Macaca mulatta: one gene and its partners. The protein of the gene in region 2 purifies or fractionates together with the protein of the main gene of each other region. This does not show direct contact. Links are inferred from orthologs where the notes say so. Each region holds a gene or a part of one and is shown on either strand. Other genes may lie near its edges.

Evidence for each region.
Region 1: the proteins of CDC37 (region 2) and DDR1 purify together in Homo sapiens (affinity purification with mass spectrometry; 3 studies listed by BioGRID and IntAct, with this or other methods). This does not show direct contact. The link is inferred for Macaca mulatta from reciprocal best matches to the Homo sapiens genes CDC37 and DDR1.
Region 3: the proteins of CDC37 (region 2) and FGFR3 purify together in Homo sapiens (affinity purification with mass spectrometry; 4 studies listed by BioGRID and IntAct, with this or other methods). This does not show direct contact. The link is inferred for Macaca mulatta from reciprocal best matches to the Homo sapiens genes CDC37 and FGFR3.
Region 4: the proteins of CDC37 (region 2) and DNAJB1 purify together in Homo sapiens (affinity purification with mass spectrometry; 3 studies listed by BioGRID and IntAct, with this or other methods). This does not show direct contact. The link is inferred for Macaca mulatta from reciprocal best matches to the Homo sapiens genes CDC37 and DNAJB1.
Region 5: the proteins of CDC37 (region 2) and CDK6 purify together in Homo sapiens (affinity purification with western blotting; 5 studies listed by BioGRID and IntAct, with this or other methods). This does not show direct contact. The link is inferred for Macaca mulatta from reciprocal best matches to the Homo sapiens genes CDC37 and CDK6.

The regions. Positions count from the first base shown.
Region 1 is NC_133409.1:152,164,634-152,168,794, forward strand, and holds the start of DDR1 (epithelial discoidin domain-containing receptor 1 precursor), read right to left. Parts: upstream 2,801-4,161; coding exon 2,716-2,800; intron 2,623-2,715; coding exon 2,520-2,622; intron 2,328-2,519; coding exon 2,099-2,327; intron 557-2,098; coding exon 409-556; intron 148-408; coding exon 48-147; intron 1-47. UniProt on the Homo sapiens protein: Tyrosine kinase that functions as a cell surface receptor for fibrillar collagen and regulates cell attachment to the extracellular matrix, remodeling of the extracellular matrix, cell migration, differentiation, survival and cell proliferation.
Region 2 is NC_133424.1:11,120,033-11,122,578, forward strand, and holds the end of CDC37 (hsp90 co-chaperone Cdc37), read right to left. Parts: intron 1,075-2,546; coding exon 919-1,074; 3' UTR 501-918; downstream 1-500. UniProt on the Homo sapiens protein: Co-chaperone that binds to numerous kinases and promotes their interaction with the Hsp90 complex, resulting in stabilization and promotion of their activity. Inhibits HSP90AA1 ATPase activity.
Region 3 is NC_133410.1:1,910,164-1,914,206, reverse strand, and holds the start of FGFR3 (fibroblast growth factor receptor 3), read right to left. Parts: upstream 2,801-4,043; 5' UTR 2,580-2,800; intron 2,210-2,579; 5' UTR 2,108-2,209; coding exon 1,999-2,107; intron 1-1,998.
Region 4 is NC_133424.1:15,127,969-15,131,958, forward strand, and holds the start of DNAJB1 (dnaJ homolog subfamily B member 1), read right to left. Parts: upstream 2,801-3,990; 5' UTR 2,715-2,800; coding exon 2,504-2,714; intron 2,358-2,503; exon of another isoform or gene 1,987-2,357; intron 1,415-1,986; coding exon 834-1,414; intron 536-833; coding exon 305-535; 3' UTR 1-304. UniProt on the Homo sapiens protein: Interacts with HSP70 and can stimulate its ATPase activity. Stimulates the association between HSC70 and HIP. Negatively regulates heat shock-induced HSF1 transcriptional activity during the attenuation and recovery phase period of the heat shock response.
Region 5 is NC_133408.1:126,535,343-126,539,315, reverse strand, and holds the start of CDK6 (cyclin-dependent kinase 6), read right to left. Parts: upstream 2,801-3,973; 5' UTR 2,675-2,800; intron 2,022-2,674; exon of another isoform or gene 1,227-2,021; intron 164-1,226; exon of another isoform or gene 2-163; intron 1-1. UniProt on the Homo sapiens protein: Serine/threonine-protein kinase involved in the control of the cell cycle and differentiation; promotes G1/S transition. Phosphorylates pRB/RB1 and NPM1.

The DNA.
Region 1 (4,161 bases), on a different chromosome or scaffold from region 2:
TCCTCCCTCCCACCCCAAACTCCACGTCCTGCAGGGGTCTTTCTTACCCGCCCATGGTATGTCCATCATAGGTGGAGTCGTTGAGGTACACAGCCTCAGATAAGTACATTGTCTGCCCCACAGGGGCGGTGTAAGACAGGAGTCCATCTGGGGCAGGGTGAGAGGATGGGGATCAGAGGCACGAAGGCTCCATCCCCCATCCCTGCATCAGGCCTGGGCAGGTTTCAGGTCCCTTCTCATATCTCTCCACTGGCACATTGGCATGGAGGAGACAATGCCAGCTAGCCCCCTCCTCAGAGTGACAGTTTCCCAGCAGGAGAAAGGGAATCCTGGATGCCCATTCTCCACACTCCCCACCCTGCACTCCCCTGCTCAGGAAACAGATTTCCAGGGAGCTGGGCCACTCACCCCTCCAGAGGCAGCCATAGAGCTCCACCCGCAGACAGACGCTCATGACCCGGTCAGCCCGGGGGTAGAAGCGAACCAGTCGGGCAACCATGGGGGGCCCAAGGTCCTTCAGCACTACTCCCTCAGGGTCCTCATTGCCTGAGATCACCTGTGGGCCAGGAAACGGGGTGTGTGGGAAGGGGTCCAGGTCAGATCTTACTTCCCAGCCACCAGCTGCTCCCTGGCCCAGCCCACAGTGGCCACTTAGAGACCCGTGAGGGGTGGCACCGAGCACACAGCACTGTGGGGCGCAGCCAGGCATGGGTGAAATGAAGATCTGCAGCTGAGACCTCTGGTCCTCTTGCAGCTCTGATGTTCTGTCCTCAGACTCCAGGCTCAGCTGCCCTCTTCTCCTTGTCTGGCTCCATCCATTTGTCTCCCAGCCTATCCTCCCATTGTGCCCAGATTCTCCCCAGTCCTCACAGCCCTGCACCCCTGCCTCAGCTTCCCCTTCATTTCAGCCCATTCCCTCTGTTTATTCAGCAGAAGGTGGGTGAGTGCCCGCTCTGTGCCAGGCACGTTCTCAGTGGTGAACGTCACTCCCCACCCTTGCAGGACTGAAATCCCAGCAAGGGAAACAGCTGCGAAGAACAAGAGGCAGGGTGTATGGACAGAGCAGTGCAGTGGGTGGCCAGAAAAGGCTCTCTGAGGAGGTGACACCTGGCGGAGAACCGAATGGGGTGAGGGAGAGCCTGTGGTTATTTGCGGGAGGAGCTTTGCAGGCACAGAGAAAACGTCCGGAAGCTGTGGGAACGAGCCCTGGCTTGTTCCAGCAACGAGAACGGCAGTGTGGCCAAGGAGGCACAAGGAGCCAGTGATGCAGGCAGGAGCCAGGTCAGGCTGAGCATCCCGCACCAGCTAGGGGCTCAGCTTTTGTTCTGGCAGAGTGGAAAGCCAGCACAGGGGTGTCGGCTAGGTGTGATGTATCTGATTTACATGCTTTAAGGTCCACTTGATGCAGCCCCCCAGGTGGAAATCTGGCTCCAGGCAGAAAAGGGCAGAAGCAGGGAGACCGATTTGGCATCTACTGCACTCATCTAAGCTGGAGATGGTGGGCGGGTGGCCTAGGGCAGTAGAGGTGGAGTGGTGAGGAGTGACTGGACTCAGGAACACTATGGAGGTAGAACGGACTGGGCTGCTGATGCTTTGGAAGGAGGTGAGAGAAAAAGAGGAATCAAGGATATCATCTTAGCTTATAGCCTAGGCAACCAGGCAATGGTGATACCACTTCCTGAGCTGGAGAATGCCAGGGGAGGAGCAGGTTTAGGTTAGGAATGGGAATCAAATTCAGCTTGGGAAATTAAAGGTACGTTTGAGATGCCTATTAGACATCTAGGTGGCTGACTACAATGCTTGTAATCCCAGCACTTTGGGAGGCTAAGGTGGGAAGATCGCTGAGCCCAGGAGTTCAAGACCAGCCTGGGCAACATAGCAAGACCCCATCTGTTTAAAAAAAAAAAAAAAAAAAAAGACATCTAGGTGAAGAAGTCCAAAAGGTAGCCAGGTTTGCAATACTGTTTGGAGCTCAGCTGAGAGGCTTGGGCTGGCGATTATATAAACTGGAGGGTCGTCAGTGTATAGGTGGTGTTTACAGTACAGCTGGAAGTGAGGAAAATCAACCTCCTCTGGGTGCTGCCTCTGCCAGCCTCACCTCCTGACCCCAGCGGTCCTTCCAGTCCATCCAGCGGCGACCGTCCCGGGAGTAACGCAGCCGGTAGCTCCGGGAGAACTCCTTGCCCAGGCCCCCAGCATGCCGTCCCTGGGTGCCCACCAGAGCCACCAGGTGCAGCCGTTGTAGATCCACCTGCAAGTACTCCTCCTCCTTGGGAAACACCGACCCTGCGGGGCACCAGGCCCCATCCCCGTCACTGCTCTCCAACCTGAGAGGGTGAAGAGGGGCACAGAGAACATCTGGCCCCAGGTCTGCCTCTATCTCCAGTACTTAAACCCCACTTCATTCGCCCCTCAGACTGCAGGGCTTTCACTGGCATGGGCAGAGGGGTTGGAGGGGAAGTAGAGGTCCCAGGGGCTCCCCTCGGGGCAGCTGCAGGTGTATCAGGTGTGCCAAGTACCTGCTGTGGCGGGCGGCAGTGGAGTCTGACCAGGAGCTGGAAGCAGAGATGTCACTGTCTGGGATGGTCCGGTCCTGCATGCCCAGGGCATAGCGGCACTTGGCTGAGTAAAAAGCAGGCATGTAACAGGTCAAGGCCCCCAAATCTCTACCTCCCAAGCCCTGGCCCTCAGGGACCCATGATTCAGTCTCCTCACCAGGATCAAAATGTCCCTTCATGTCAGCATCTCCACTTGCCACCAAGAGCAGCAGCAGTAAAGACGAGAGGGCCCCTGGCCCCATAGCTCCTGATCCCTCGGGCCTAAGGGGGTGGGGGCAGCATCTCTGCAGGGGATAAAATGGGTGGTGGGTAAGTTAATCAGGGGACTGAGTCATAGCTGACAGCAACAGACAGAATGGGCCGCTTTGGGGATAATAACAGTAAAACAACAACAACAGTCATTGTTTAACAGCATCAGCTGTATTTTTAGAATGCTTCCCCTGTGCCAGACACTGGCCTAAACCCTTAAACAGAATCCATAATTTTATCTTCACAGTCACTTCATAAGGTAGATACTATTACTATCCATATTTAACACATGAAGAAACGAGGGCAGAGATCAGTTAACTTCCTGAAGCCCCATTTCTGCAATCAAGAATGGGCAAAATACTCCCATAGACAATGGCTTAGAACAAACAAGTGTGCAAAAAATGTTATAACACACACAACAGGAAAAGGTTTAATAACTACAGTAAACTAAGGCCCCTTAGGAACTGACAAGAAAAAATATATAAGTAACCCAATAAAGAAACAACCAAAGAATTTGAATAGTCATTTCACAGAAAAGCAAAGCCAAATTGCCAACATTTTTTTATGGTCAAATTCACTAGCCTCAGGGAAATACCACGCAGATTGACTAGATATTTTTTTAAGGCTGTAACATATAAAAGTGGTGGAGGGTGAAGAAAAGGGAGGCACCATGCTCAATGGCAGAAATGTAGTGTTATCCTCTATTAGGAAAGGGATCTAGCAATGTCTATTATAATTTAAAAAGCACATCCTCTTCGACCCAGCATTCCCTCTCCTAACGATCTACCCAAATGGGGAGACAGAAGCACCAGGAAGAAAGAACATATGTGCAGGGCTGGGTCTGGTGGCTCATGCCTGTAACCCCAGCACTTCGGGAGGTTGAGATGGGAGGATCACTTGAGGCCAGGAGTTAGAGACCAGCCTGGTCAACATAGCGAGACCCCATCTCTTTAAAAAAAAAAAAATGAAAAAGAAAAAAGAAAAAAAAGAAGATGCTCAAAGATGTTTATTATGGCACCTTTTGTGAGACATAAATCTGTAAGATATGTGAATGCTCACAGGGGACAGGCTGGAATTAAAAAATAATAATAATAAGGTTTATGGACTACTCTGCAGCTATGAAAAGTAACAAAGAGGCAATAAATTCCTAACTTAGTGTAATTTCCTTGTGTATCTGTTGAATATGAAAAGCAACCTACAGAAGTATAAAAAATTATCCCACCTTTTGAAAACAGAACAAGCACCCATGTTTGTATATATATCTGTGTGTATGTCTACAGGTAAAGAATATATAATAGAATATAAAAATAGAATATAATATAACACGAGTTAACATGAATGGGGCAAAAGAAAA
Region 2 (2,546 bases):
AGCCTGGGCGACACAGCGAGACTCCGTCTCAAAAAAACAAAACAAAACAAAACACCAAAAAACCAAAACACATCTGTTGGGGCCAGTGCTGGCCATAGGGTGGGGAGATATAGTCCAGGATGCTGCTCCAAAAGGTGGTAAGGAAGCTGGAAGGCCGGGGCTCTGTGGGCAGGTGGGCAAGATCCACAAAACCCTAGGGAACGTTGACTTGGTTTGCAGATCACTACTGCCCTCTGGTGGTGATCAGCTTGGGCAACCCTGCTTCTGGAGGTTCAAGTAGGGACAGGGGAGTGGGTAGGTGAGAACTGAAGGTTAGAGGCTTTTGAGGCCTCTGGAGGAAGACTGTTCCAAGTGGTGGAACAGCATGTGTGAGGCGAGGACCCACGATGGCTGGTGGGCAAAGGACCAGAGAAGCACAGGCTCAGTCCCCAATAATTCCACCAGGTTTCCCTCCCACCTAGAAGAGATGAGCTGCCTGAACAGCCCTCCAGCAGCCCAGAGAGCATCTGAAATTCTTTATTGGAACATCATTGCTGTTTGCCAAATAGAAGACACAGACAGCAGACGAACAGTGAAAACAGAGCCCAGTGACCAGAGCTGGCCCCTTGGCTGAGGACCCTCCCCTACTACCTGGTGGACCAGCCTGGCAACCTCTGCCCCTCCCCGGACCCCCGGGCCTTTGGCATAATGCTGATGGGGGGCTGCAGGCAGTGAAGCCCCTTGACTCAAAGCAGAGACTTGAATGGGCGCTGGAGAGTGGGGACAGTGGAGAGGCCAGGGAGGGCTGGGCGGGCCCCCCGGGCTGGGCCGAGCAGCGCAAGTGGAGGAAGCCAGGAGCGGGCGAGATGGCATCTATCTGTTTTCTGAAAAGGGGCACATAGGGGCCTGGAAGCAGGTGGTGGTGGTAGCTGGGGCAGGTCACACGCTGACATCCTTCTCATCTCCCGTCTTGGGAACAGCCTCCAGCAGCGGGTCCCCAGGACCTGCCTCTTCTCCCTCCTTGGCCTCACTGGCCTTAGAGTTGGGGACCCAGAGGCCGGAGTCAATGCAGCGTTGCATGTGGTACTTCGCGTCCTGTGAGGAGAAGGGCAGGCAGATGAGGTGGGGCCACCACCCAGGGGTCCCCATTATCCCCTGCACATCCCCAAGCTGGCTTCCTGCCTATTGATATTTAACCAATTTATTTGAGATGGAGTCTCACTCTGTCACCCAGGCTGGAGTGCAATGGTGCAATCTCGGCTCACTGCAACCTCCACCTCCCAGGTTCAAGTGCCTCAGCCTCCCAAGTAGCTGGGGTTACAGACACCTGTCACCATGCCTGGCTGATTTTTTTACTTTTAGTAGAGATGGGGTTTTGCCATGTTGGCCAGGCTGGTCTCAAACTCCTGACCTCAGGTGATCCGCCTGCCTTGGCCTCCCAAAGCGCTGAGATTACAGGCGTGAGCCACCGTACTCAGCTGGAACTTTAAATTTTATTTAACTTTAATTTAAATTTAGATAGTGCAATCTAGAACAAAAGCCAGCAAATTTTTTTAGTAAAGGGACTGACTAAATATTTCTGCTTCCGCAAGCCATATGGTCTCCGTCACGACTCAACTCTGTGGCAGAGCAAGATCGGTTGTAGATGACAGTGAAACAATTGAGCATGGCTTCTTTGTTGCAATAAAACTTTATTATAAAGACAGGCAGTGAGTCTGGGAGCTGCGGTTTGCAGAAGCTGGTCTAGATGGCTATGCCCATAGAAGCTTCTAGAAACTCATGGCCAGTCCTGCAGCTAGACCCATTTTACAGACGAGAAAACCAGGGTGACCAACCAGTGAGCCAAGTGGTAGGAATAGGGTCAATCGTGTCCTACTTAGATTCAACGTCTATTGCCACTTCCAAAAATACAGCCAGTTAGACCTTCTTTATAAAAACATAATTTTTAGAAAAAAAATCAGTGAGATGTCATGGTGTCAGCCTATAATCCCAGGTACTTGGGGAGGCTGAGGTGGGAGGATCACTTGAGCCTGGGAGGTGGAGGCTGCAGCCTGGGTGAGAGAGGAAGACCCTGTCTGTCAAAAAAAAAAAAACAGATGGCCAGGTGCAGTGACTCACGCCTGTAATCCCAGCACTCTGGGAGGCTGAGGCGGGCGGATCACGAGGTCAGGAGATTGAGACCATCCTGGCTAACACAGTGAAACCCCGTCTCTACTAAAAAATACAAAAAATTAGCCGGGCATGGTGGTGGGTGCCTGTAGTCCCAGCTACTCGGGAGGCTGAGGCAGGAGAATGGTGCGAACCCGGGAGGCGGAGTTTGCAGTGAGCAGAAATAGCACCACTGCACTCCAGCCTGGGTGACAGAGTGAGACTCTGTCTCAAAAAAAAAAAAACAAAAACAAAAAACAGACAAAATCCAATTAACAGCCAGCATTTACCAGCCCCTGCCGTGTGCTCAGCTCCTTTCCCCACACGTTTTGTGAGCTGATATTGAGAGAAAATATGGTTTGCATAAGGAAACTGAGGCTGGACTCAGTCACAGTAACAGTGACTATCAGTCACAAGGG
Region 3 (4,043 bases), on a different chromosome or scaffold from region 2:
GAGACCCCCAAGCCCCTGGACTCCCACCCAAGCTCAGCTGTAACAAGGGGTGCCCCATTCCCAGTTCCAGCTCCAAGTACCTGAGAGCTGGGGGGCTGGGGGGTGAGTAACGAGGGGTTCCTAGGCTCACACAAGGACCTGGAGGCCACGCTCAGCCCAGGTTAATGAACCACCCAGAGGCCCACGCGGCTCAAAGTCCAGCCCGGCAGAGGAGGGGTGGGGGAGGATTCAGTCAGCACCTTCAGGAAAGACCCTGCACCCCGAGACCCCTGCTGGGGGGTGTGGCGCTGTGGGAGAGCCGACCTTGTCTTCCTCCCTGCACCCTGGGGGGTCCCCCTAGGCTCCAACCAGGAACACAGCCCTCTGGGGAGATGGCGGCTGTCCTGGCAGGGCCTGGGGTGGCCAGGGCAGTCCAGGGGCCAAAACCTTCCCCACCGCCCTTGACCACTGCCAGCCAAGGCTCCATAATTTATGTTCCCAGGCAAGCGCCAGCCTAGACCTCAGTCCATTTCACGAGGTCTTTGTATTTTTACTGCCCGGCCCATCTTGTTAAGGAACCGGATTAAATTTATTGACCGATCAACTCACTACCTGTTTCACCAGCTCCAGTGCGGGCGGGGTCGCCGCCCCAAGGCGGGGGGCGGGGCGTTCCAGGGGCGAGAAGGGGAGGCCCCGCGCGCCCGCCGGGGATCCGGGAGACGCTCTGTAGCCTGGCCGCCGCCCCTCCCCGGGGCTGGCTGACATTCCCGGGCCGTAGGGAGTAATATCTTTATCTGAATGAGAATACGAAAGCCAGGCTCCCCCCGCGGCCGCCCCTCCCGCACCCCTGGAAGCGGGGCCGCCCGAGCAGGCGCTAAAAGCGCGCGCTGACCTCCCGACGGCCCCTGTCACGCCGCTGAATGACACGCACATTCAAGCGCCGGGCCACTTTCATTCATAAAAAAAATGACATTGTTCCGGGAGGCTGCAGCCGCCGCCGGAGAAAGGGGCGCGGGGGCGCGGGCGGGGCGGCCGCCATCTGCCTCGGCCCTCCCGGCGCCCTCCCCGGCCCGCCGCGCCCGCAGCCGCTCACACCTCCCCGCGAGCCGCCGCGCCGCCATCAATGCGCGGTCTGTGGCCGCGCCGAGGTACAAAGGAGCGGCTGTTCGGGCCTGGGCCCGGGTGGGGCGCGAACTCACCGGGCCAGGGCCTCCCTCCGCGCGGCCGCCGGGCTGGGCTGTGCGCGCCCCCTTCGCCCGCCCGGAGCCGGCAGCGTGTACGGGGCGGCGGCACCGGAGCTCTCGGCCCGACCCGCGAGGAACCGCGGCGCGCGTGCAGGGCGGGCCGGGCGCCCCTTCCCCTCACCTCCCTTCAGACACTTGACGTCCCGCAGGACCTGGACCGCCAGCCCGGTCTAGGGCCCGCGACGCTGGGACACGCGCTCCTCGCTCGCCTGGAGCTCGGCGCGCACCCACGGGGAAGCGCCCTCAGCCCCCAGGCACTGGCAGGGTCGGCAGCGGGGGCGCTGGAGGCTGCAGCCTCGTCCGGCGGGCAGGGGCCGGGCTTCGCTGACGCGCACACCCACCCTCAGAAGTCCGGCCTCTCCCCTTGGCCGAAGCTCGCCACAAACTGGGGCCCGGGGGAGGGGGACGCCAACAATGGGAACTTTCCGTCTGCGCAGAACCCGAAGAACAGCGGGAATCGTGGAAATGGGGAAACCCGCGCCCTCCCGACAGGCCAGGGCTGGGGAGCCGCAGGGGACGGGGCTGCGGACGCCAACCCCCGGCCTGGCTCCCAGTGGCGGCCTCGCATTTGGGGGGTACCTGCGGCTCCAGGCGCCCCACAAGTCGCCGCGCTACCGCTGGCCGCGCTCTCCGGGACGGAGACAGCGGAATCCGGGCGCTGACCCCGGGGCGTCACTCACACCCGGAGTTCCCTCCGACCTGGGGCCGGTTCCCGTCCCCAACGCCTCTGCCCGCACGGGCCGGCCCCTCCCGTGCCCAGTGGGTCCCTTCTTACCTGCCACTCGCCCCACGACGCGCTGCTCCGTCCCCAAGGACTCCGAGGAGGCGCCGGCCACGATGGCCACTGCCACGCAGAGCGCGAGGGCGCAGGCAGGGGCGCCCATGGCGGGGGCGGGGGCCGCGGCGTCCTCAGGCGGCGCACGCGGGCATGCTGCCCCCCACGGCCCGGCGCGGGCACCGGCGGGAGGCGGGCGCCGCTTGGGAAACTGCGGGAGGAGGAGGGCAGCTCGTTAGCGGCGCGGGTAGGGACGAAAGCGGCGGTGGCCGGCTCCTGCGCCCCGACCCCTCCGACCCCCAGCCGCCCCGCCCGCCGCCGCCGCCGCCCAGAGCTCCCGGGCCGCCTGGCGCCGGCCGCCTCCTCCCCGCCGCGGTTCCTCCCTCCTCCCCCTTCCCTCCCTGGCTGCTGCAGAGCCCTCCCAGGGCGGCGGCGGCGGCGGCAAACTTTCCGGAGCGGGAAGCCCGCGCCCCGGCCCGGCCCGCCGCAGGGACTGCTGTGGTTCCGCGACTGCCGCGCCCCGGCCCCTCCGCGCGCACCGTTGGACCCCTCCGCGCGCCTGCCCGGACCCAAGCACCGACCTGGCGGGCGCCGGAGTCCGGCTCGCTAGGCGCGGCTCCCGCTCCGGCTCGCTGTCCGCAGGCCCAGCTCCCGCCCCGTCCCTCCGGCCGGCGGCCCGCCGGTGCGTCCGTGCGACCGGCAGAGCAGGACCGCGCGGCGCCAGCTGCTCGCGACGCCGCCACCGCCGCCGCCGCCGCCACCGCGCACTGAGCCTGGGTTGCCCCGCGCGCCGCAGCCAGTGGGGGACGGTCCGCGCCCCGCCCCGGCCCCGCCCCGCTCCCGCCCGGCCCCCGCCCGACTCGCCGGGGCGCAAGGCACGCCCCCTCGGGGCGGAGCGGGGCATCCGAGGGGGCGTGGCCGGGCGGGGGCGCCCGGCGGTCTCGAGGGCGTGGGAGCCGGGGCAGGCGGGCGAGGCCCCCAATCGCACCGCGGGGCGGCCCGGTGGGCGGTGGGCACGGGGCGCACCGAGGGCGAGCGCAGGCTTCCGTTTGCACAGCGCGCAGCTCGGGTCCCCTGAGGCTGTGCTCAGGAGCTCAGAGGGGAGGTCTCGGCGGGGGTCGGGATGTCAGGAGGCGTCGCCAAGATGCCGCGGAGCTGAACCCTGTGGTGTGAGCGGGAATTCCTCAGGTGGAGGAGGGCAGGGCGGCATTCCAGGCCGAGCCTCCGGTGTGCGCCGCAGGCCTGGGGCAGCCCGGTGCGGCCTGCGTACCTGACTGGCAAGGAGCAGAGGCTGCGTTGACTAACCTGGGGCCGAGCCGCATGCACCTAAGCCGCCTGAGTGCCCAGCCCCGAGAGGTCCCTACCCCTGCCCCCCAGGAGGACACAGGCCTGGGACTGGCTGCCTGCCCGGCCTAGAATGAAGGGCAGGGGCTGGAGACCCCTGGCTTGGGGAGCGCAGCCCGGCTCTGAGGGAGAATAACGAAGAGCTGGTGGCAGAGCCTGAGCTGGCCCGAGGTTCTAGGCTCCACGGGGCGGGCTCAGAGTCCAGCTGAGGAGGGTTGGGACTGGTGAGGTGGGTTCCCAGGAGGGGAAGATACTGCCCTGCGGGGGACGCTGCGGGTGTCTGGGTCCCCTTACCCCACATGACTGTTAGCTTCTGTGTCCACCCTCACAAGGAAAAGGCCAACTGCTCCCATCTTCAGGCAAAGCCCAAGGGGGTCCGGAGCCCATGGGAGCCAGTGAGCTGGGGGGAGGGCCGGCCGAGTCTGCTGCCCGCCTGGCTTGTGGCTTCCAGGACTAAATGTAGTCATCAGGAAAATGGGCGCTAAAAGTCCCTCAGTGACTGGCTGTTTGCTGACCCTACCCAGCCCATGCACAGCTCAACCCTGCAGCTCCCAGAGGCCAGGGTGTCCCTGGACTGACCTCAGGGCCTTGGAAGGGCTCTGCTCCCAGGGAGCCCTCATGCCCACCTCTCTGTGCCCACTTGGTGGCTCAGCACTTGTCCTCGGCCACCCTTGTTTCCTGCTCTGGCCAAGTCCATGTCC
Region 4 (3,990 bases), about 4.0 Mb from region 2:
CTGGTCTGCCTCTACCCCTGGACAGGGACTGGAGGAGGAGGATGTGGGCCCATCCCGGGAGGGCTGCCGGACCCAGTGGGGCAGACTGGAATGCCTTTTCCTGCTGTTCCCACCACCTGATGCCCTATCGCTCGAAAAACCACTTTAGTCTAGTGTACGACTTTGAAAGATTGTAATATATGCTCTGGAAAACATTCAGCAGTATGAAAGTCCTCCCTGGGCCCTCCCATGGTCCACAATTGGTAGAAAGGTCCAGAAATCCTTGAGCTCTGGAAAGGTCCCTGGTCAGTCGGAGCTCTGGCAGCTATATTGGAAGGACCTGCTCAAGTACGGTTCTTGATGTCTGGGGAATCCTTTCGGGGAAGATCACTTCAAATTCAATAATGAGGTCCCCACGTTTCTCGGGCGTTTTGGGGAGGGGGAGGCCTTCTCCAGGAACTTTTCGGCGCATGCCAGGCCTGATGACATCTTTGAATACGACGGGTATGGTCCTGCCGTCCAGAGTGGGGACGTTCACTGTGCAGCCACACAGAGCCTTGAAAAGCAAAGGGATAAGCATTAGATGGAAGCTGGCTCAAGAGGCTCAGCTCTTGCCCGGAGACCATCTGGCATAGAGTAAGACTCATCAGGCCTCTGCAGCCAACACCTGGCCCCCAAATCGACATGTCTCCACCATGAAAGCTCCAGAACAGCACCCTGATCACTCCTGTTCACTGTGGTGCCCCAAGCCTGGCAAGCGCCACACACCCAATGCGTGTTCAGCAAAACCTAAATAAACTGCTTCAAAGAGCAGCCATCGCGCTCTGCAGACACCGCCCCACCTGGCACCTTACCTCCCGGAGGCTGATCCTGGCAGGATAAATCACATCAGAGCCATCTCTCTTAAAGATATTGTGTGGCTTGTCCTTTAAAACAAAGACGATATCAGCTGGAATGTTGTTGGAGGTCTGGTCTCCTTCCTTGGGGAAGGTGATTTTGGTCCCTTCTTTCCACCCCTTCTTCACTTCGATGGTCAAGATTTTGTCTTCGTTTCGAATGCTCTTTCCGTCGGGGTTTAGCCGCTTGTGGGAGATTTTCATCTTCTTGGTACAACCGCTGTAGATCTCTTCAAGGGAGACTCGAAGGTCGTGGGTGACTGGGGGATCTTGCTTCTTTCGGGTGGGCTCTTGGGAAGGGCGGGAGCGGCCAAAGTTCACGTTGGTGAAGCCACCCATGCCCATAGGGAAGCCAGAGAACGGGTCATCAATGTCCATGCCTTCCTCCCCGTTCCGCTGCCCAAAAAAGGTGTCAAAGGGATTTCTGCCACCGAAGAACTCAGCAAACATGGCATGAGGGTCTCCATGGAACGTGTAGCTGAAAGAGGTACCATTGGCACCACTGCCGCTACCGCCACTGGGGCCACTGCCCTTTAGGCCTGAAAAGCAGAATTAGAAGCAGTCAGATGGCTGAACAGCAGACTCCCTCTCGAGCTTCCCTTACGGGGGAAAAAAGCTTGGAAGCCATGGGGGAGGAACTTTTTTTAGCCTGCCAGGGGAGAGCAAGGAAGAACCCCAAGCTTCTACCCCTCACTGCAGCAGCAGAGCTGCCCCCCCCCCCACCAAGTACTTCCGCATAGCCTGACAGTGGAAAAGGACTCATGCGGTTAGGTGTCCACCTACAGGTGCCACCTGGGCCCTGCCACTCCTGGACTGACCCATCCTCCTGGCAATGTCACCAAGGGATGGCTAAACACACACGGTCCAGGGTCGGCTTTCGGTATTTACTTTCAACATTTTAGGACTACTGATGTGTACGAAGAGTGAAAATAAGGAAAAAAAAAGATGTAGAGTTTTTAAACCCTCACACTAGCATTCACTGCTACCATCCTTGCATAATAAGTCAGTCCCAGATCAAGCCCAGAAGCCAGCCTGAGTCATCAAGGGGCACAGGGACAAAAAGCCCCACTCTCCGTCCCCCCAAACCCCCAGGCGGCCCAGCTCTCCGCACCTAGGCGGCCGCTGCCTCCTGCGTGCCCGGCCGGGACCAGGTCATCACTTCCCGGAAATCATCCCAGCCCAGCCCCAAGGCCCGCGAGCGGGGTCGGCGCCTGCATTTACAGCCCCGCGCCCCGCAGCTGAGCCGCAGGCGCCGCCCTGCGGACCCCGGCGGCTAAGCCCAGGTGAGCTCGGGTCCGCAGCAGGCTCCGCCGTGCCGTCCCCGTCGTCACCCCCGGCTCCCCCACCCCCCTGCACCGCACCCCGGGGCTGCTCGGGGCCGCGGGAAGAGGCGCCCGGGGAGGGGCAGCCTTAGACATGCTAGAAGCTTCTGGGCGAGCGGCTGGGCCAAGGCTCCTCCCCCCACCGCACGGCCGCCAATCCAAGGGCGGAGGCCCGAGCGGCCGGAGGGCGGGGCAGCTCGGCCCCCGGGCCCGGGGCGTCCTTCCCGGGGGGCCGCCGAGAGGGGCCGGTATGCCTCGGTTTCCCTGTCAAACGGCGGGACCGCGCCCCTGGCCGCGCGCACACACCTTCCTCTCCGTAGCGGTCGAAGATCTCGCGCTTGCGCGGGTCGCTGAGCACGTCGTAGGCCTCGGCGATCTCCTTGAACTTCTCCTCGGCGCCGGGCTCCTTGTTCTTGTCCGGGTGGTAGCGCAGCGCCTGGCGGCGGTAGGCCCGCTTGATCTCCTCATCCGACGCGCCGCGGGCCAGGCCCAGCGTCTGGTAGTAGTCTTTGCCCATGGCCCCCCGCTGCGGCCCGCCGACCCGCTGTCGCCGTCCCCCGGCTCCGCCGCCGCCCGGTCCCGGACTCTATATACCCGTCCGGCGGAAGCTTCCAGAGCCCGCCAGCCCCCTCCAGAACCTTCCGCCCCGCCCCCCCGCCCGCGGCGCCGGCCAATCGCCGCCACCCTTTCCGTGACACGCGACATCCGGGGCGGGGCTTTGCCGTCAACGGCCGCCGGCGCGGGGCCACGCCCCCTCCCGCTCCGCCCTCGACAACGCCTCCCGGCGGCGCGCGCACAGGTCGGAGGAGGCCCCGCCCACCTTCCGGGACGAGCCAATCGCGAGCTTCTTTCACACTCTGCACCGCCCCAGCGACCCTGCGTCCCGCCCTCCGCCTGGGTCAGTGGGTCAGGAGCCGTCGCGAAGGTGATGTTCCGGGAAGGGGTGGGGCCTGGGACTAGCCTGTCTTTTCCCCAGGAGGTGATAAACCTTCCAGCCCTTGTCTCGCGGGACCTGCGGTGGGCCTCCGCCGGGTGACGCCGGACGAACAACCTAACCCGCGTCTGCTTAACCCAGGGGTCTCTTTCTTTCTACAATATGGCAATAAGAGAACCTGACACGGAGCCTCACGACTGTAATTTCCATCACTTCCTGAGGCCAAGACAGGAGAATCTCTAGGGCCTAGGAGTTGGAGACCAGCCTAGGCAACATAAGCAGACTCCGTTTCTTTTTAAAATAAACAAACAGGCCGGGCGCGGTGGCTCACGCCTGTAATCCCAGCATTTTGGGAGGCCGAAGTGGGCGGATCACTTGAGGTCAGGAGTTCGAGACCAGCCTAGCCAACATGGTGAAATCCCGTCTCTGCTAAAAATACAAAAATTACCCGGGCGTGGTGGCACGCACCTGTAATCCCAGCTACTCAGGAGGCTGAGGCCTGAGAATAGCTTGAATCGGGGAGGCGGAGGTTGCAGTGGGCCGAGATCGGGGCACTGCACTCCAGCCTGGGCGACAGAGCGAGACTCCGTCTCAAAATAAAATACATAAATAAATAAATAAGTAAAATAAAACAAAATGAACAAACAAGGAATCCACCAGCGCTATTTTCCCAACTGTGGGGAGAAGGATGTTGGGACAGAAGACTGCCTCTGTTCTCCCTTCCTAAAGCGAGGTGAGGATCTGGGCGAAAGCTCACCTCCCGAGGTCCTCCCAGTCCCGCCTTCTTCACTTTACTGCCCTCTCAAGAGCACTTGCTGCTAAATTAGAAATTTATTTTGTGGCCGGGCGCGGTGGCTCA
Region 5 (3,973 bases), on a different chromosome or scaffold from region 2:
CCCTCCGCGCGCTCCTGCCCTCTCCCAAGCCGCTTAATCCTTCCTGGTTCCTCCGAGAAAAGCGAAGTTACTTTTCTTTCCCTGCAGGGCTGAAGCCGTCTTCGCGCGGAGAGGTTGCAGGGGCCCCTCGGGGATGAGCGAGCGGCGCGGGACGCAGTGGAACGGGAGGGGGCGTGCCGAGCAGCCCAGAGTGTGCCGGGAGCGCGGGGGAGGGGAGGCGCCGGGCACGTCAATGTCACGGCTTAATATTTATCCCTATATCATTGTGTTGCGTCGCTACCCTCCCCGCCTCCTGAGGCCCGGACGTGCAGGGAGATGGGGTCCAGGGGTGCCGGAGGGCGTTCAAGGGTCGCGCACAAGCTGGAGCGGAAGGACTGTGGGTCCATCCGTGTGGGGCCGCAGAATGTGGGTGGGGGCTCCCAGGACCCTGTAACCCGATGCTGTGAGTGTGCGAGAAGGGGTGGTCAGACATCTGCTCAGAAATTGCTTCCTTTCTTTCTACTTTCAGTTTTTCTACGAGGAGACATTTAAAAACGACTCGCATACACAAATGGTCTCTTTGGGGTAAAGGAGTCTCGGTTGGAAACGGAATTCTCTCTCCGACTGGGAGGACCTCCCTGGTGGAAACCTTGGGAAGACCAGCCATCTGGTCGGGGAGGGTTGGGGCTAATCGGGGGTGGGCGAACGAGAGGTCCTGGGGGAGGGGAGACACTGTCCCCCACGGGATCCCAAGGGTGGGAGAAAGGGGTGTTCGTCACAATTTCGCTTGTCGTCTTCTTAAAGAATAATTTCAGGAAGAGGATAGCTTAATCGCGCCTCGTCCTGAAGTTTTAAATTGATTTCGACCTGAGCAAAACTCAACCTCTCTTTCAAAGGGTGGGGGGTGGGGGGTTAAACCCTGCGCCTCCAGGGGTGAGAAACAAGGTCTCTGCCCTCGGGGCCCGGACTCGCGAACCTTTTCCCACTCCCAGGACCACCCCGCTGTAGGTAGCGGAGGTGGCTGCCCCATTCCCTCTCCGGCTAAAGGCCGGGTCCAGGCTGCAGCCGGACGCCCCCGGAGCCCTCTGCATAACAAAGCGCCGGAGAAGGGTACCCTAACTTTCCCTCCCCATTCAGCAGCTATCTGGGACCTAGGGAGCCTCCCTCCCCCACGGCCGCCGCGGCCTCGGCAGGACTTTCACCACGCTGGCCGCGTGTCCGGAATTCCCGGGGCACCTCGGAATTACCTGCCTCGCAACCGCTGCCCCGCTCGCCTTTTGCCAGGAATTAAACAAACGGCGCGACCCCCACGATGAGCGCGTGGAGCGGACCGCGGCGAAAGCAGTGCTTCTGGCACTCACTCCATTCAGAACTTTCCTTAAAAGCCGAGGAAAGAGCCCCCAAGGACTGCCCGGGCGTCTGAGCCAGGTCGAGGGCCACACAGGTAGCCGGGGAGCCGCCGCCGGCCGCCCAACCCGCCTCTCCTGCGTCCCCCCATCCCCCTCCCGCTCGAGTCTAGCCCCGGGCTCCGCAGCGAAGGAAGCGTCGGGGACGTCCCACCCCCGCAGGGAACTTCGCCTGCTGCCCCCGCCGGGCCCCGCACTACCCTGACTCTCCCCCCACTCGCCCCCCAGACGGTCGGCTTCGGCGGAGAGAAACGGGAGCAGCAATGCCTTTTCCCCCCCTCTCCTCCACTTTTTTTTTGTTGTTGTTGTTGCTTTCCCACGCTGGCTGAATGTGACTTGACCCCATTTCAAAAAAAGTTTGACATAGTGCTTCAACATTTCCGCATTCCTCCGCGACTACAAAGGCTGCAGCCGCCTCCTTCTGCTTTCTGTCTCTGCTCTCTGTCTTCACACTCAATGAAATCCTTCATGCGCCTCTCCCGAAGCCTGCCAAGCACCACAAGGGTCGCCACCAGCACGGCAACAAGAGGCCACACCGGGGACCGCGACTCCCGCGTGTGCGCACACGCAGATGCGCCCATATGCACACGGACGGGCGCCCTGCGGGGACAAGGGCTGCTCACCACGGGGCGTGTGTTTAACTCCAATATTTTAAATGATAAAAGTAAACTTGGAAACTAAAGCAAACGTGCGTCTTCGTGGGGCTCCAAGCCTGGGCACCGGCCGGCTGCGTGCACTCTTCTGTGCATAACACGCCCGCAGGAAGCCTGCGTTAACATTTATCTCGTGGAGGGGAAGGTGGAGCCCACACCCACACCTCAGCGAGCTGGCGAGGGAGTTTTCGTGGGGGAAATGCAAGCACATTCTCCAGCATGGAGTCCCTAGAGGCAGTGCATTTTGAACCCTAAATGTGAATTATTATGTGAATGTCCGAGTAGAGTTCCAGTTCCGTTTGGAGAAACTGGATGAGGAGTGTTCTGTGTGAGTGTGTGTGCGCACGGGTACGTGGAAGCAGGATCTCGGTGTCGCGGGTGTCCCTAGCGTAGGATCTCCCCCTCTCGTCAGATTAGAATCCTCTAGCTCCCCAAAACTGGCCCCCATAACCAACGCCGTCTCAGTTCGTAAGGGGTTAACCAAAGCCGATTCCAGGGAAACACAGGTCCCCCCCACCCCCCGCCAGCCTCCACTTACCCCACCCACAGTTCTGCCTCGGACCCCGGCCAATCCCCCATATCTCCCCAGGGACCCCCCACCCCGCAGCCCACCCACCCGAGCGCACAGCTCCTCACCTGAGGGGCCCAGTCGCGTCGGGCCTCCTGAGGGGGCTGCGAGTGTCAGTCGGCTCTCCGCACGTGTCCGCGGCCTCGCGGAGCAGGTAATCAGACTCTGGGGAAGGAGTTACCAGCACTCTCTCCGGCGAGGGGGTGGGCACAGCGGCGGAGGGCGGAGGGAAGGCGGAGGGCGCCGCCCGCGCCGCTAGCTGGGGGCGGACGGGGGCCGCGGGGCTCTGGCCGGCGCTGGGGGCCCCAGCCAGGGAGGCAGCGGGGGCGACCGCGCGGGGTGGGGGCAGGGACCCGAGAAGCCAACTCTGCCGGAGACCCACCCAGCGGCGAGGCTGGGGGCTCGTGGCGCAGTGGCAAGAAAGTGTGCAAATTAAAGCCTTCCGGAGAGAAAGGAGGCGGCCAAGCCCCGGCAGTGCTCCGAGCTCCGGGCTCCCTAGCTCCCTTCTACGAGTCGGGGGCTAGAAAGGCGCGGGGCGGGGGGGTTGGGGGGGCAGGGGAGTTAAATGAAAATTTCCGGCTTTCACTGAAACTGTAGTAGGGGGATCCTGCGACTAAAATAAGCGGCGTTAGTGGGAGAGAGTGGGACGTGTCGTCGGGAGTCGGCGGAGTTTCCAAACCCAGGGTCGCCCAGAGTTGGGGTTTTGACAGGGTGAAGCAGGGGGTATCCTCACTGTGTGACGTGGACGGATGGGAAAAACACAAAACAACTAACAATAATTATGAAGGGCCGATGGGGGTGGTAAATACCAATACTTTCCAAGAAACTGAAAAATCAGACCAAAAAATAACTCTTCTCTTAAAAAAATAAAGAAAAAGTTTGGCAGGATGCCTTGCAGAAAAGAAAATACTAATCTGTTCAAGCACTTTTCACTTTCAGCATGAGCTACATTTGTTTTGTTTTCCTTCGCTTCCTTTCTGCCTCACAAAGCCCTATCTTTTCCTTTTAGACAGAGGGTATGGTTTGGAAATTGTCAGGCACTCTTATGGTTAACGATCTACTTGAAGGGGCTGGCGGGTTCACAATTATTAAGTGGTTAGTAACTGCTGAGGGTTCACTAACGTATTTCAGAGGAGCTAAAAAGACTAAAATTTAGTGTAAATAATAGAACTGCAGATAATAGATACATACACAGAAAGAGGAGTGCTCAGTTTAAATGCATTATTGGAAATCTGAAATTTGAAACCTTGTAAGAATGTATACTTTACCTGCTGAGAAACCCTTGAATACAATTATTTCAGGTGAAAATGAGCTTTTGGAGAAAAAAAGTCTTTAAAACCTTCTACAATGGAGTAAAAGAAAACTTG